2 linked regions of the Caenorhabditis elegans genome follow. The protein of the gene in region 1 purifies or fractionates together with the protein of each later gene. This does not show direct contact. Each region holds a gene or a part of one and is shown on either strand. Other genes may lie near its edges. The genes, in order: C35E7.11 and faah-5.

Region 1 (3,883 bases):
TTCGAAGAGTTTCAATTTTTAAAAAACTGAAAAGAATTGCAGAGAACGTGACTCCTAAAGACTTGATCGATCACAGATGTGAGGATTGTGAGAACAACGTGCGTCCTACAGACGCATGGCTTGAGTCTGATAAAGGTAATCAATTGAACTGATCACAATGTAGAGTAGAGTAGAAAATTTGGTTAAGCTAATTGTTTTTCAGTCTACCATAGAAGCCCCGTAGAACTATTAAAAATTTGAGTAAAAATAATTAATTTTCAAATCTAAAAATCTGAACATCTGCTTCAAACATATTCGTTTAGTACTATTTCGATGCAACTAATTTGCTAAATATTTATATTTGTAGCCAATTTCTGAACCAACTGAACATTTTCTGATAAATCTTGAGCAAGAAATTGGCTTCAAAAGTCGCAATGAATATTTTTAAGGAAAACCTACTCTACGCAATCAAATGCATCCGGATTACCACCCGACTTACAAAAAGAATTCCGAATATGAAGATGCACAGGAGGATTTTGATGATATTGAGCTGAAAGTTTTCCAAAAATTGTGTAATATGGAGGACAACTTGTTCAAGCAGATAATCGATTTTGAAAAACCAAAGGAACAGTTTACCGCACCACCACACCCACAAATGACTCACCGTGTTGCCCAACCTCATTATGTTCCAGTGGAATATTTCAATCACACGATATCAGACTTGCTTAGACAAATATCAGGTCTGCAGCATGAGCAAGCTATGCAAAATGGACAAATGCAGCATATGGCCAATGAAATTCGAAGCATTGGAAATGCAGTTTGCAGTCTACACTCATCACAACTACAACAGCCGCCTAACAGTGCCGCAAGCATGTTTCCGTACCCGATTCATCCGATGCCTTCAACCTTTCCACAGCAAGCACCTCATGCTCCAAATGCTCCTCAAATGACAGCCAACTCAATGCAAAGCATCGCAGAGCTCATACTCGCGCAAAGAGGAATCGCACCAAGAAGAGAAAGACGTCTCACAGAAGGTCCTAAAAAGTATAACAGAGTGATCCCACCTTCACCCCGAATTCCAAGTTCAACTGATAAAAAGGAAATGCTGAAAAAATCGAATGATCGGTTTGATAAGCTTAGAGAAGAAGTTTCCGATGTAAGGACACAATTGTCTGGTTTGGAAGGTACGTTGTTTCTGTCAGACATTTTCAACTTTCTAGAGCACCCCGCAAGCTTTTTCTCGCACACTCTCAACCTTCTGTCGCAGAAATTTGTATAAGTATAATCACGTGCAGACGACTATACGATCTCTAAGGGATCCTTGATGCTTTGAGCTTGAAGCTTTTGATCTTCAAACAGGACAGAAATCAAATTTGGAACTATCAAAAGGCATTTAGCGCTCAAAAAATAACGGCGAAAAAAGATTAGAAGCGCGTTAGCTACCAAGAAAATAAGCTCGCCAGAAAAGTATAAGCCCCTATATTTCCAGACACTACTTTCAAAAAGCCGAAAAAGCTGCACTTCCTTGAACCAGACGAAGAATCAGAGAGTGAGAATTGAAATGATAAATCTCAGTTTAATTCTCAAGTTTCAGGCGACGAGAACGGCAATGATGTGGACGAATTTTCAGAAGCTGATGATGATGATGAGGACGTGGATCGAGAAATGAAAGTTCTTGTCGAGTCACTCAAAAACCGCGTTCAATAGTTTTTTACCCCAAAACTCAATCAAACTACTCTCAAAAATTGAAATTCCTATATCTTTTGATTTCAATTGTGCATGTTTTTTCTTATCTTCTTCCTGTGTTCTCATCCCCAATTTTCTGGTTTTCATATGGAAATCTGTGACAAAACGATTCCATATCCTCAATTACACATAGAAACCCCATTTTTACTGTACGTTTCCAGCTACCTTTCCTTTCATAGTATCCTAGTTTCACTTGAATTTCCTGCTTTTTCGTCCTGCTATAAAAAGTTATACAACTGGGAAATAACCCCGGGAAACTAAATTAAACTTATTTAAAGAGTTTATAATCTCTGCTTTTTACTTTTCACTTTTAATTTATTTTTTTTTAAACTAAATTTTCAAGCATTTTTAGCAACTGCAAACCAGCCATGTCCGAGATCGTCGAAGTTCCAGATTCTCCGCCAAGATCTCCGGAAGTCGAGTGCCCATTCAGTGAGGGTGAGGAAAATTTATCTGAAACCCTGATAATTTTTTTTTCAGAAGGTTCCTCCGAAAAGTCGATGGAGACTAGAAAGCGGGTCGCTGAAGAGGCTGAGGGGAAAGAAGGCGACGATGATGGTTAGTATAGTTTGAATATTTAAATTGCAGACAAACTCGGAATGCATTTAAATTTATTAGAACAAACTGGAAATTATTTTTGGTAAATTTTCAAAAAGTTCATCCGTTTAGTTTTTGAGTGATTTCAGTTTTTACCGAAATTTTTCTATGTTGAACTAAAATATACGACATTCTTCTGTTATTTGCAAGACGTCGCCAATGTTTTCGAATTAGTTTTCAATTTATTTTATTGAAATATTACTCAAAAAATATGTTTGGCGAGTTTTAGAAAATTCTGACAAAATTTTTTGTTGATATATTTTTACTATAATATCTCATAAAATAATTATAATCGTCTAATTTTCAATGAAAAATCAAGAAATACAGACAACATATATTTTTATATCAGCATAAAATTTCAGTTATCGAAGTTCCACCACCAAAGAAGGTGAAGCCATCCTTTGAAGAAGTTCATCAGCTCATTGAAGACGACACGTACGACGAGGAAGAGCTCAAGAAAGCCAATGGAGGATCCGTTGTTGAGGAAAAGGGTTCCACTGAAGTTGAAGCTCAAGATGAGCAAGTTGCCGAGAGTGAGGAGCAACCAAATGAGCCGGAAGAAGAAGAAGAAGAGGCTGATGAGGAAGAAAATGACGAGGAGTAGATTTTAAATTGTCTAAAGATTCTCTTTATAATTATAATCAAATACCACTAGATCTTTCCATTTATTCTCAAGATCTCATCTATCATCATATTAGCGTATGAATCGTAAAATCTCAAAAAATGTTTGTTTGTTTTTTCTGGACCTTTTTTTTTAGCTCAAGCTCAAGCAAAAAGCTCAGTTTGCTCGCTTTTTGTTTATTATTTTCAAATAGCTCACAGTTTTCAACGTCTCGCAAACAGTTCTTTTTTTATTCTAAACCATTTTTCCCTCATTTTTACACTTCAAATGTCGATTTCTATAGCTTTTTTGGTTGTTCTGGAGTTAAAATTTAAATAAACTAGATATTGGCTAACCTACATTCGATATGTTCTTGAGATCATTAGATGTCTAGAATATTAGGTCAATTGACAAGAGGACTTTCTTACATATTGTCACACTATAACAGGTGCTGTAAGAGGAGGCGATGTCTCAAATGGTAGACTGTTGTAAAAGGAGAATATCGTGAAGAGATAGAGATGTACCAAAAATAAAGAATCGTAAACTTTCCGATCGATCAAAATACATTCCTTCCCATCTACATCGTTAATGCACTCCCTCCAGACTCCACCCATAAAAAACCAATCAATATTTACTCTAGACATCAATGTCTCTCAATTTCCTATTGTGTCTCTAATTATTGGAATATTTTCCAGCGTCCGAGAGCGCACAACAATCTGGAAACACAAAATGTAGTCATTCAGTCTTCAATTGTTTCTATTGTTTGGTCGAAGGCCCCTTTCTCATGTTTTATTCTTTTATTTTTCCTTTATCAGTCTTTATCTCTGTTTACGTAAATAGGAATTACTTTTTGCCCTCAATGTCAGCTAAATTATTTTACTCCGAAATTAAAAATTGCCTTATGAGCAGTCTGCTGAAACTTTTCAGACCTTGTTTTAAACCAAAATTTCCACATGTCAA
Region 2 (7,521 bases), on another chromosome or scaffold:
GTAAATTTTGAGATTATTTTTGCACCAAATTCAAAAACCACATTTTTCTCGCCTTTCTTCAAGTATTTTCAACAATTTTCACCAGTTAAAATAGCAAAACATCGATAAAATGTTTAAAAAATCGATGTTCGGCGCTTAAATTCCAGCGGAGCGCGTTTGCAGCGTCCAGCGTCCAGTGGAGCGCGTTTGCAAAAAATGAAAAGGTCTCGCAACGAAAATTTCATCAATCAATTCTCATTAAAATTTTCTATTCTCGTCCTAATTTTCTTCATTTTCCATGTCCAAAATGGAGGATAAGATTAAATGTAAGTCAAATAAAATCGACAAAACTTTTGAATTTGAGATGCTATCAGTCATTTTATAATTTTAAGCAAAGAAAATCATCCTCAAATTGATCTCACACTTGTTCCACAGGCCTAATATTCTTTAAGCAAAGAATATTTAGCCTGCGGAGCAATTATTTTATACAAACTGTTTATTTCAGTGGCAGCTTACTCGGAGCTTCTCGAAAAGGCTCTAGCTCGTGATTGGTCTCCCGTCGATTTCATTAAAAATGAAATCTTGTTTGTTCTCGATGAATTGAAGATGGATGTGGATAAGTATAAAAAGAATCGCGAAGAATTTGTGAAAATCGGAAAATGTGTTGGTCACGCACACGCGCTTCTACTCATTGCGAAATTTGGCAACGAGTAAGTCTAATTTCTACAAAAAATTAGAGGCATTTCATTGTTTTTTTTTCAGAAAGTCAGATGGAGCTGCCACAATCATTCTCGGAAACATTCCCGAAGATGTGTCATTCCCCAAGTTGTTCCCTCAATGCGTGGGATTGGGCAAGTTTTTTGGCATTTGTATGAGCACCGTAAAGTCTCCATGCCTTACGGCCAAGCTCACTTTCGACGACCACCACAGTGCGGCTGATTTCGCTGAAAATGCCAATGAATTCGAATGGGATGGGCGTAAGCTGATCGCAATTGTGAAACCCTTTAGCGAGAAAAAATTCCAAAAGTCAATAATTTTTTTTGCCGGAATTTCGCTTATTTTTGCTAAACTTTGCTTAAATAAATTCGAATTAAAATAATTTCTCACAAAAAACTACAGTTTTCAGTACTTAAAGACGCATAAACTGCTTCAACTCAAAATATTACGGAAACGCAATATTCTGAGAATACGTACTGCACAACATATTTGACGCGCAAAATATCTAGTAGCGAAAATAAAACTACAGTAATCCTTTAAATGACTACTGTAGTGTCGATTTACGGGCTCGATTTTTGAAATGAATTTTCTTTTTATTTTTGCTCAAATTTTAATTGCTGCCCGTAAATCGTCACAACAGTAGTCATTTAAAGGATTACTGTAGTTTTCTTTTCGCTACTAGATATTTTGCGCGTCAAATATGTTGTGCAGTACGTATTCTCAGAATTTTTGCGCTCCCATAATACCTGTCTGAAATTGCGCAACTGTGTAATATCGTGGTGTGGCGGATAACAGAGATCGTGGCGAGACCATTTCGCAAGGAAATAAGGGCACGGTAGCTAAAATGTGTCAGGACCCATCACTGAAATTTTATGCACAGAGAACTGTTATTGCTGTCATTGTTTTGACTAATAAATTATTAATCTAGCCTCATATTCTCCTACATATTTTCTCACAAGGAACCGAATCTCTCTTCCCATTTCCAAGGAATTAACACAAAATCGTACCTACAATTGCCCACTCGAATAACACATTAGTTCCCCATTCATAATAAATCCCCCATCTATAATATATAATCTGCTGTTTTTCCGGAAAAAAAAACTCTGACTGAAAAAGTGATGAGTTGCCTTGCAAAAGTGTTCGTCGGGTTTTTAGTATTCATATTTTATCTAGCAAGTATTCCATTTCTTATTATGTATGCAATTCCAAAAGTTCTTTTGGAAAAGGTGAGCGTATCGACTGTTTTGTGATGTCAGAATGTCCCATTTCGTTGTGATCTACAAAAAATGCGGGAATCGAGACACAGGCTACTCAACTGATTTAGCATGGTTAAGAACGTGCTGACGTCACTGTTTTTTAGGCGAAAAATTCCCGCATTTTTTGTAGATCAAACCGTGATGGGACAGCCTGGCACCACGTGCTGTTCTGTGGTTTTTTAAACTTGCGCGTAAAATGTGATGCATTGAGTTGGTTGCACCATATTTGACGCGCAAGTTGAATTGTGGTACAAGCATAAAAATGCTTAATTATTTCATTTTTTACGGAAAAACTGAGAGAATTCCTTTGTAAAATCGCAACTGGAAATTTAAACGATTCCCTTATTTTTTTTGTTTTTAAAATGTGCTTTTCTGTAGGTTTTCACGATGTTTCTTTTGAAATAATGTAGAAAATCCATTTTCGACACGTAAATTATTGACACTTTCGAAAATAATGGCAAAAGTTAAACCGCTGCCCCATTACGGTTTGATCTACAAAAAAGCTGGATTTTTTGCCCAGAAAAATTTGACGTCAGCACGTTCTTAATCATGCAAAATCAGTTGAGAACTCTGCCGCATTTTTTGTAGATCTACGTAGATCAAGCCGAAATGAGACACTCTGGCACCACGTGCGCCTACCTGCCTGACCTTTAGGCGAGCTTCGCTTTGGAAATTCCGATTTTGCCGTTAAACATTATACTTTTAGTGCCGAAAACCATCGCGAAATCGTAAAATCCGAAACTTCCGTGTCCGCCAAGCCGACGCATTCACGGACTTTGAGAACAGAACTCTTCCATCGAAACTTTTGCACAGTGAACGGATTAATGGATCGAAAGAGAATGCTGATGAGATTGAGAAAACGTTTCAGACAGTACTTGCTATGGATTTTCCCACTTTGAGAGGTAACTTGTAAGGGGAAATTTAAACTTTAAAGCCCAATTCCCAATTTTTTAAGAGGCGCTTCAATCCGAAAAGTTCAACGCTTACACAGTGCTGAGTGCGTATGTCTGGAGAGCAATAAAGATAAATCGGAAGATCAATTGCATCACTGAAGTTATTAAGGAAGCTTTTACAGGTATGAAGCAAATAGTTTCAACGTGGTGCTAGAGTGTCTTATTTTGGCGTGATCTACGTTGATCTACAAAAAATGCGGCAGAGTTCTCAACTGATTTCGTATGGTTAAGAACGTGCTGACGTCACATTTTTTTGGGCAAAAAATCCCGCATTTTTTGTAGATCAAACAGCAAGTGGGCAGCCTGGAACCACGTGATCACGGGGAACACATAATTCTTAGAATGCGTATTGCACAACATATTTGACGCGCAACATATCTCGTAGCGAAAACTACAGTAATCCTTTAATTGGCTACAGTAGCGCTTGTGTAGACCACTTATCGACCCGTAAATCGACACAAGCTCTAAAGCTCTACAGTAGCCATTTAAAGAATTACTGCAGTTTTCGCTACGAGATATTTTGCTCGTCAGGTATGTTACGCATTCTCAGAAAATTTTAGATGCACAGAATTGTAGTTCTAAACTTGCGAACACATTTGCTATAACACGTGGTTTCAGAAAGTCTCATTGCGGTTTGATCTACAAAAAATGCGGGAATTTTCTACCAGAAAAAATGTGACGTCAGCACACTCTTAACCATGCGAAACCAGTTGAGATGCCTACCTCTCAGTTCCCGCATCGCATTTTCCGTAGATCAAAGCGAAATGGAACTCTCTGACTCCACGTGCCACGTGGTGTCAGAATGTCTCTTTTCGGTTTGATCTACGTTGATCTACAAAAAATGCGGCAGAGTTCTCCACTGATTTCGCATGGTTAAGAACGTGCCGACGTCACATTTTTTTAGGCGAAAAAATTCCCGCATTTTTTGTAGATCAAACCGTAAGCCTGGCATCACGTTACGTGCTATAAGTCAAAATTAGAAGAAAAATCTGGATTTTTCAAAGTCGCGCCAAATGCGCCAGCAACTTTATGCGCTTTCGACGCTGAGGACCCCTTGCCATTTGACCTCCAAAAATTGCGGGAAACTTAGACACATTTGTCTGACGCAATTTTTGGAGGTCAAAAGGTAATAAAGAATTTAAATTCGTGTTTCAGATGCTGCAAGACTTGACGATGAATATCGTGAGCAACCGAAACCCCCGCTATTTGGAATTCCGTTTTCTGTGAAGAGCAATTTCTATGTGAGGGATTCTAACTTGTTTTAAGATCTTAGCAACCTAGCTTATATTCTAGGTGACTGGCTACGAGGCTACCGTCGGACTGGCAAGCCTTCTCGAGCAACGGGAGACCACCACGTGCTCGCTCGTCAAATTTCTCAAGAATCAAGGAGCCATCCCTTTCTGCTTGACAAACCTTCCACAGGGACTTTTATCCTATATCACTTCTAATCCAGTCTATGGAACTACCAAGAACCCGTGGGACTTTTCTCGTACTCCTGGTGGATCGTCTGGTGGAGAGGCTGCTCTACTTGCAGCCGGTGGTACTGTATTTGGAATTGGCAACGATCTGGTGGGAAGTCTTCGGATCCCTGCAGCATTTTGCGGGCTGGTGTCGTTGAAGCCTACTCAAGATCGACTTCACGAGAGTGAGATGCACCCCGGGCTTCCTGGACGTGGACGGCTTGGTTACAGCTGTGGATTCTTTACTCGAAATGTGGAAGATCAGGAATACCTGTTGAGGCTGGTCATTGGGAAGCCGGAATATCAACAAATGTCACCGTATTCTTCATTGTCCCCGTTATTAGACACTAGTTCGGATGATAAGCGGAAGCCGGTTATAGGATGGTTTGTAGATGATGGATTCTGTTCAGTGTCTCCATCGAATCAGCGAGCAGTTGAGGAAACTATTGGGAAGCTGAAGGAATTGGGTTATGAAGTTAAGGAATTTAAAGTGAATGATATTGATACAAAGTTTCATTCACACGCTGTGGCCGATATGTTATTCAGAGTAAGTTATGAAGTTATGATAGTCAATAGTCTGCCGGTTTACTGGCCCGACTCCCGGTATCAGAAGTTTTAGTCTTGATTTCAGCTTGAGTCTTTTTTTGCCGAACGCCGGGGTGAGCGGCAAACGATTTTTTCCGGCAAATCGGCAAATTGTTGGAATTGAAAATCGGAAAATTTACCGATTTGCCGGTTTGCCGATGTGGCGGAATTTCTTCTCTAGTTCCGGCAAATTAATATCCGGCAAACGGCAAATCGGCAATTTGCCCAAAATGAAAATTTCCGGCAAATCCGCAACCGGCGCATTGTCGGAATTGAAAATTTCCAGCAAATAGGCAAATTGGCAAATTTCCGGAACTGAGCGTTTCCGGCAAATCGGGCAAATTGCCGGAATTGAAAATTTCCGGCAAATCGGCAAAATTGAAAATTTTCGGCAAATTGGCAAATTGCCGGAATCGGAAATTTCCGGCCAATCGGCAAATTGCCAGAATTGGAAATTTCCGGCAAATCGGCAAATTGCCAGAATTGAAAATTTTCCGGCAAATCGGCAAATTGCCGAAATTGGATATTTCCGGCAAATCGGCAAATTGCCGGAATTGAAAATTTCCGGCAAATTGGCGAAATTTCCCGATTTGTGAATATGCCGAAAAAAAGGCAATTGCCGAAAATTTATTGGCAAATTGTGGTTTTGCGTTTTTTCCGGCAAATAGGCAAATTTCCCGATTTGCCGATTTGCCGGAAATTTCCAATTCCAGCATTTTGCCGATTTGCGGAGTTTTTTCTGGAAGTTTCACAATTTCAATCTTAATCTGCAAAACTTTATGCATCCTATGAATGCTCCTAAATAATAATAAAAAATCCCTCTAATAATTTCCGGCAAATTGATGTTCGGCAAACGGCAAATCGGCAATTTGCCCAAAATGAAAATTTCCGAAATTGGCGAATTGCTGTTCAGCACATGAGTCAAAAGCCAAAAGCCTATAACCTTCCAACAGCTCATTCCCCAGAACGTGATGCCTGACAACGGAGAGTACATGTCTGAAATGTACGGCAGCGAGCCATACGATCGCTACATGTCCCACTTCATTCGGCTCGTCCGTTACAAACAAGTATTCGTGATTCGTTGGCTCGCCCAACACGTCTTACTTCCACTCGCCCAATACACTCCGCTCAAATCAAAACAGGTGCTGTGTCTTGGCAAGGCGTACAATTCGGATCCGGCGTGTGTTCGGCAGAATCAGGAGAAAACGGATTCGTACAAAATGAAGTGGATTCGATATTGGAAGGGATTAGGCATCGATGCGTTGATTTGTCCCTCGTTTATCAGTAAGTATTTAAAGTGAATGCAGAGAACGTTCCTAGCAGTTTGATCTCAAAAATTACGGATTTTCTGGAGATCAAACGGCGAGGAACCTGCTAGATTCGTTAAATTTTCAGCCCCTGCCCAACCATTCAAATATCCGGTCCTTCTTACAACTGGAGCCTTCATAACTGGTCTATTCAACATGCTCGACTGCCCGTCCGCCGTTGTCCCAGTAGCTCCAGTCCGTGAAAAAGAAAACGATAAATTCGAGACAAACGGGGATTTTGTGCTAAAACTTCAGGCAGCAGCAATAAAAGAGACGAGTGGAATGCCAAATTCTGTTCAAATCGTAGCACTTCCGAATCAAGAGGAAATGTGTTTGAAAGTGATGAGAATCGTTGAGGAGATCAGTGAAGGAGTTCAGGTGTTGAGGTGGAAGTCGGAGAATCAGACGATTTGGACGAATGGGGATAGTTTCGAGTGTTTTGAGAGATTCGAGAAGAAGATTGCTCCAAAGAAATAATATTTAATTGCTTCGTATTTCCTCTTATAACCCACGTGGTGCCATGCTGTCCCATTACGATTTGATCTACAAAAAATGCGGGAATTTTTCGCCCAAAAAATGTGACGTCAGCACGTTCTTAATCATGCGAAATCAGTCGTGAACTCTGCTGCATTTTTTGTAGATCAACGTAGATCAAGTCGAAATGAGACACCTTGACGTACATATTAACCTGTCATTTTAGGGTGAAATAAACTATAATCGTTAAAAATGCGAGTAAAATAGTATACAATTCCTATTATTCAAGGTTTCTTTTTCAGATTTCATGTTGAAACTCCGCGGAGCCCGCTTGTTCTGGCCTATACGTAGAAATTAAAGACTTGCGCTTCAGAAAATGGTTGAAAATACGAATATTCAGCAGGAATAGTTATATTTTATAGTAGATCAGTCGAACTACGACATATTAATGGTGTATTTCCACGATTTTTTTCCAGTTTTTTTAAAAATATGCTAACTGATATGACAAAGTACCCCATTTTAAGGCAATAAATCTTTGAAACCCAATAAAACTGCCATAATGGGCCTGACAACAAGCTTGTTAAAGTATTAATTTATGTAGTTCAAACAAATGAAAATATCACGAAAATGTTCTTTACAAATTAATTGGTTTAACCACCAAAGGTAACTGTTTGTTTGAAAATGCTTAAATTTAAAGGTGAAGTAGCGCCAGTGGGGATTTTGTCTAAATGCACTTATAATAATCCAAAACAACCGAATATCATAATAAAACACTCCTAAAAATTTTTAG

Evidence for each region.
Region 2: the proteins of C35E7.11 (region 1) and faah-5 fractionate together in Caenorhabditis elegans (co-fractionation; one large-scale study listed by BioGRID). This does not show direct contact.

What each region holds. Positions count from the first base shown.
Region 1 is NC_003279.8:10,842,695-10,846,577, forward strand, and holds C35E7.11 (Glutamic acid-rich protein-like), read left to right. Parts: upstream 1-2,077; 5' UTR 2,078-2,093; coding exon 2,094-2,163; intron 2,164-2,205; coding exon 2,206-2,283; intron 2,284-2,684; coding exon 2,685-2,926; 3' UTR 2,927-3,278; downstream 3,279-3,883. Other genes in the region: C35E7.2 (Reverse transcriptase domain-containing protein), read left to right, coding at 43-135, 429-1,163, 1,469-1,528, 1,574-1,686.
Region 2 is NC_003281.10:11,885,729-11,893,249, reverse strand, and holds faah-5 (Amidase domain-containing protein), read left to right. Parts: upstream 1-1,814; coding exon 1,815-1,922; intron 1,923-2,658; coding exon 2,659-2,854; intron 2,855-2,907; coding exon 2,908-3,027; intron 3,028-4,060; coding exon 4,061-4,146; intron 4,147-4,198; coding exon 4,199-4,912; intron 4,913-5,915; coding exon 5,916-6,234; intron 6,235-6,345; coding exon 6,346-6,734; 3' UTR 6,735-6,765; downstream 6,766-7,521. Other genes in the region: Y56A3A.41 (RRM domain-containing protein), read left to right, coding at 278-305, 485-689, 742-1,078.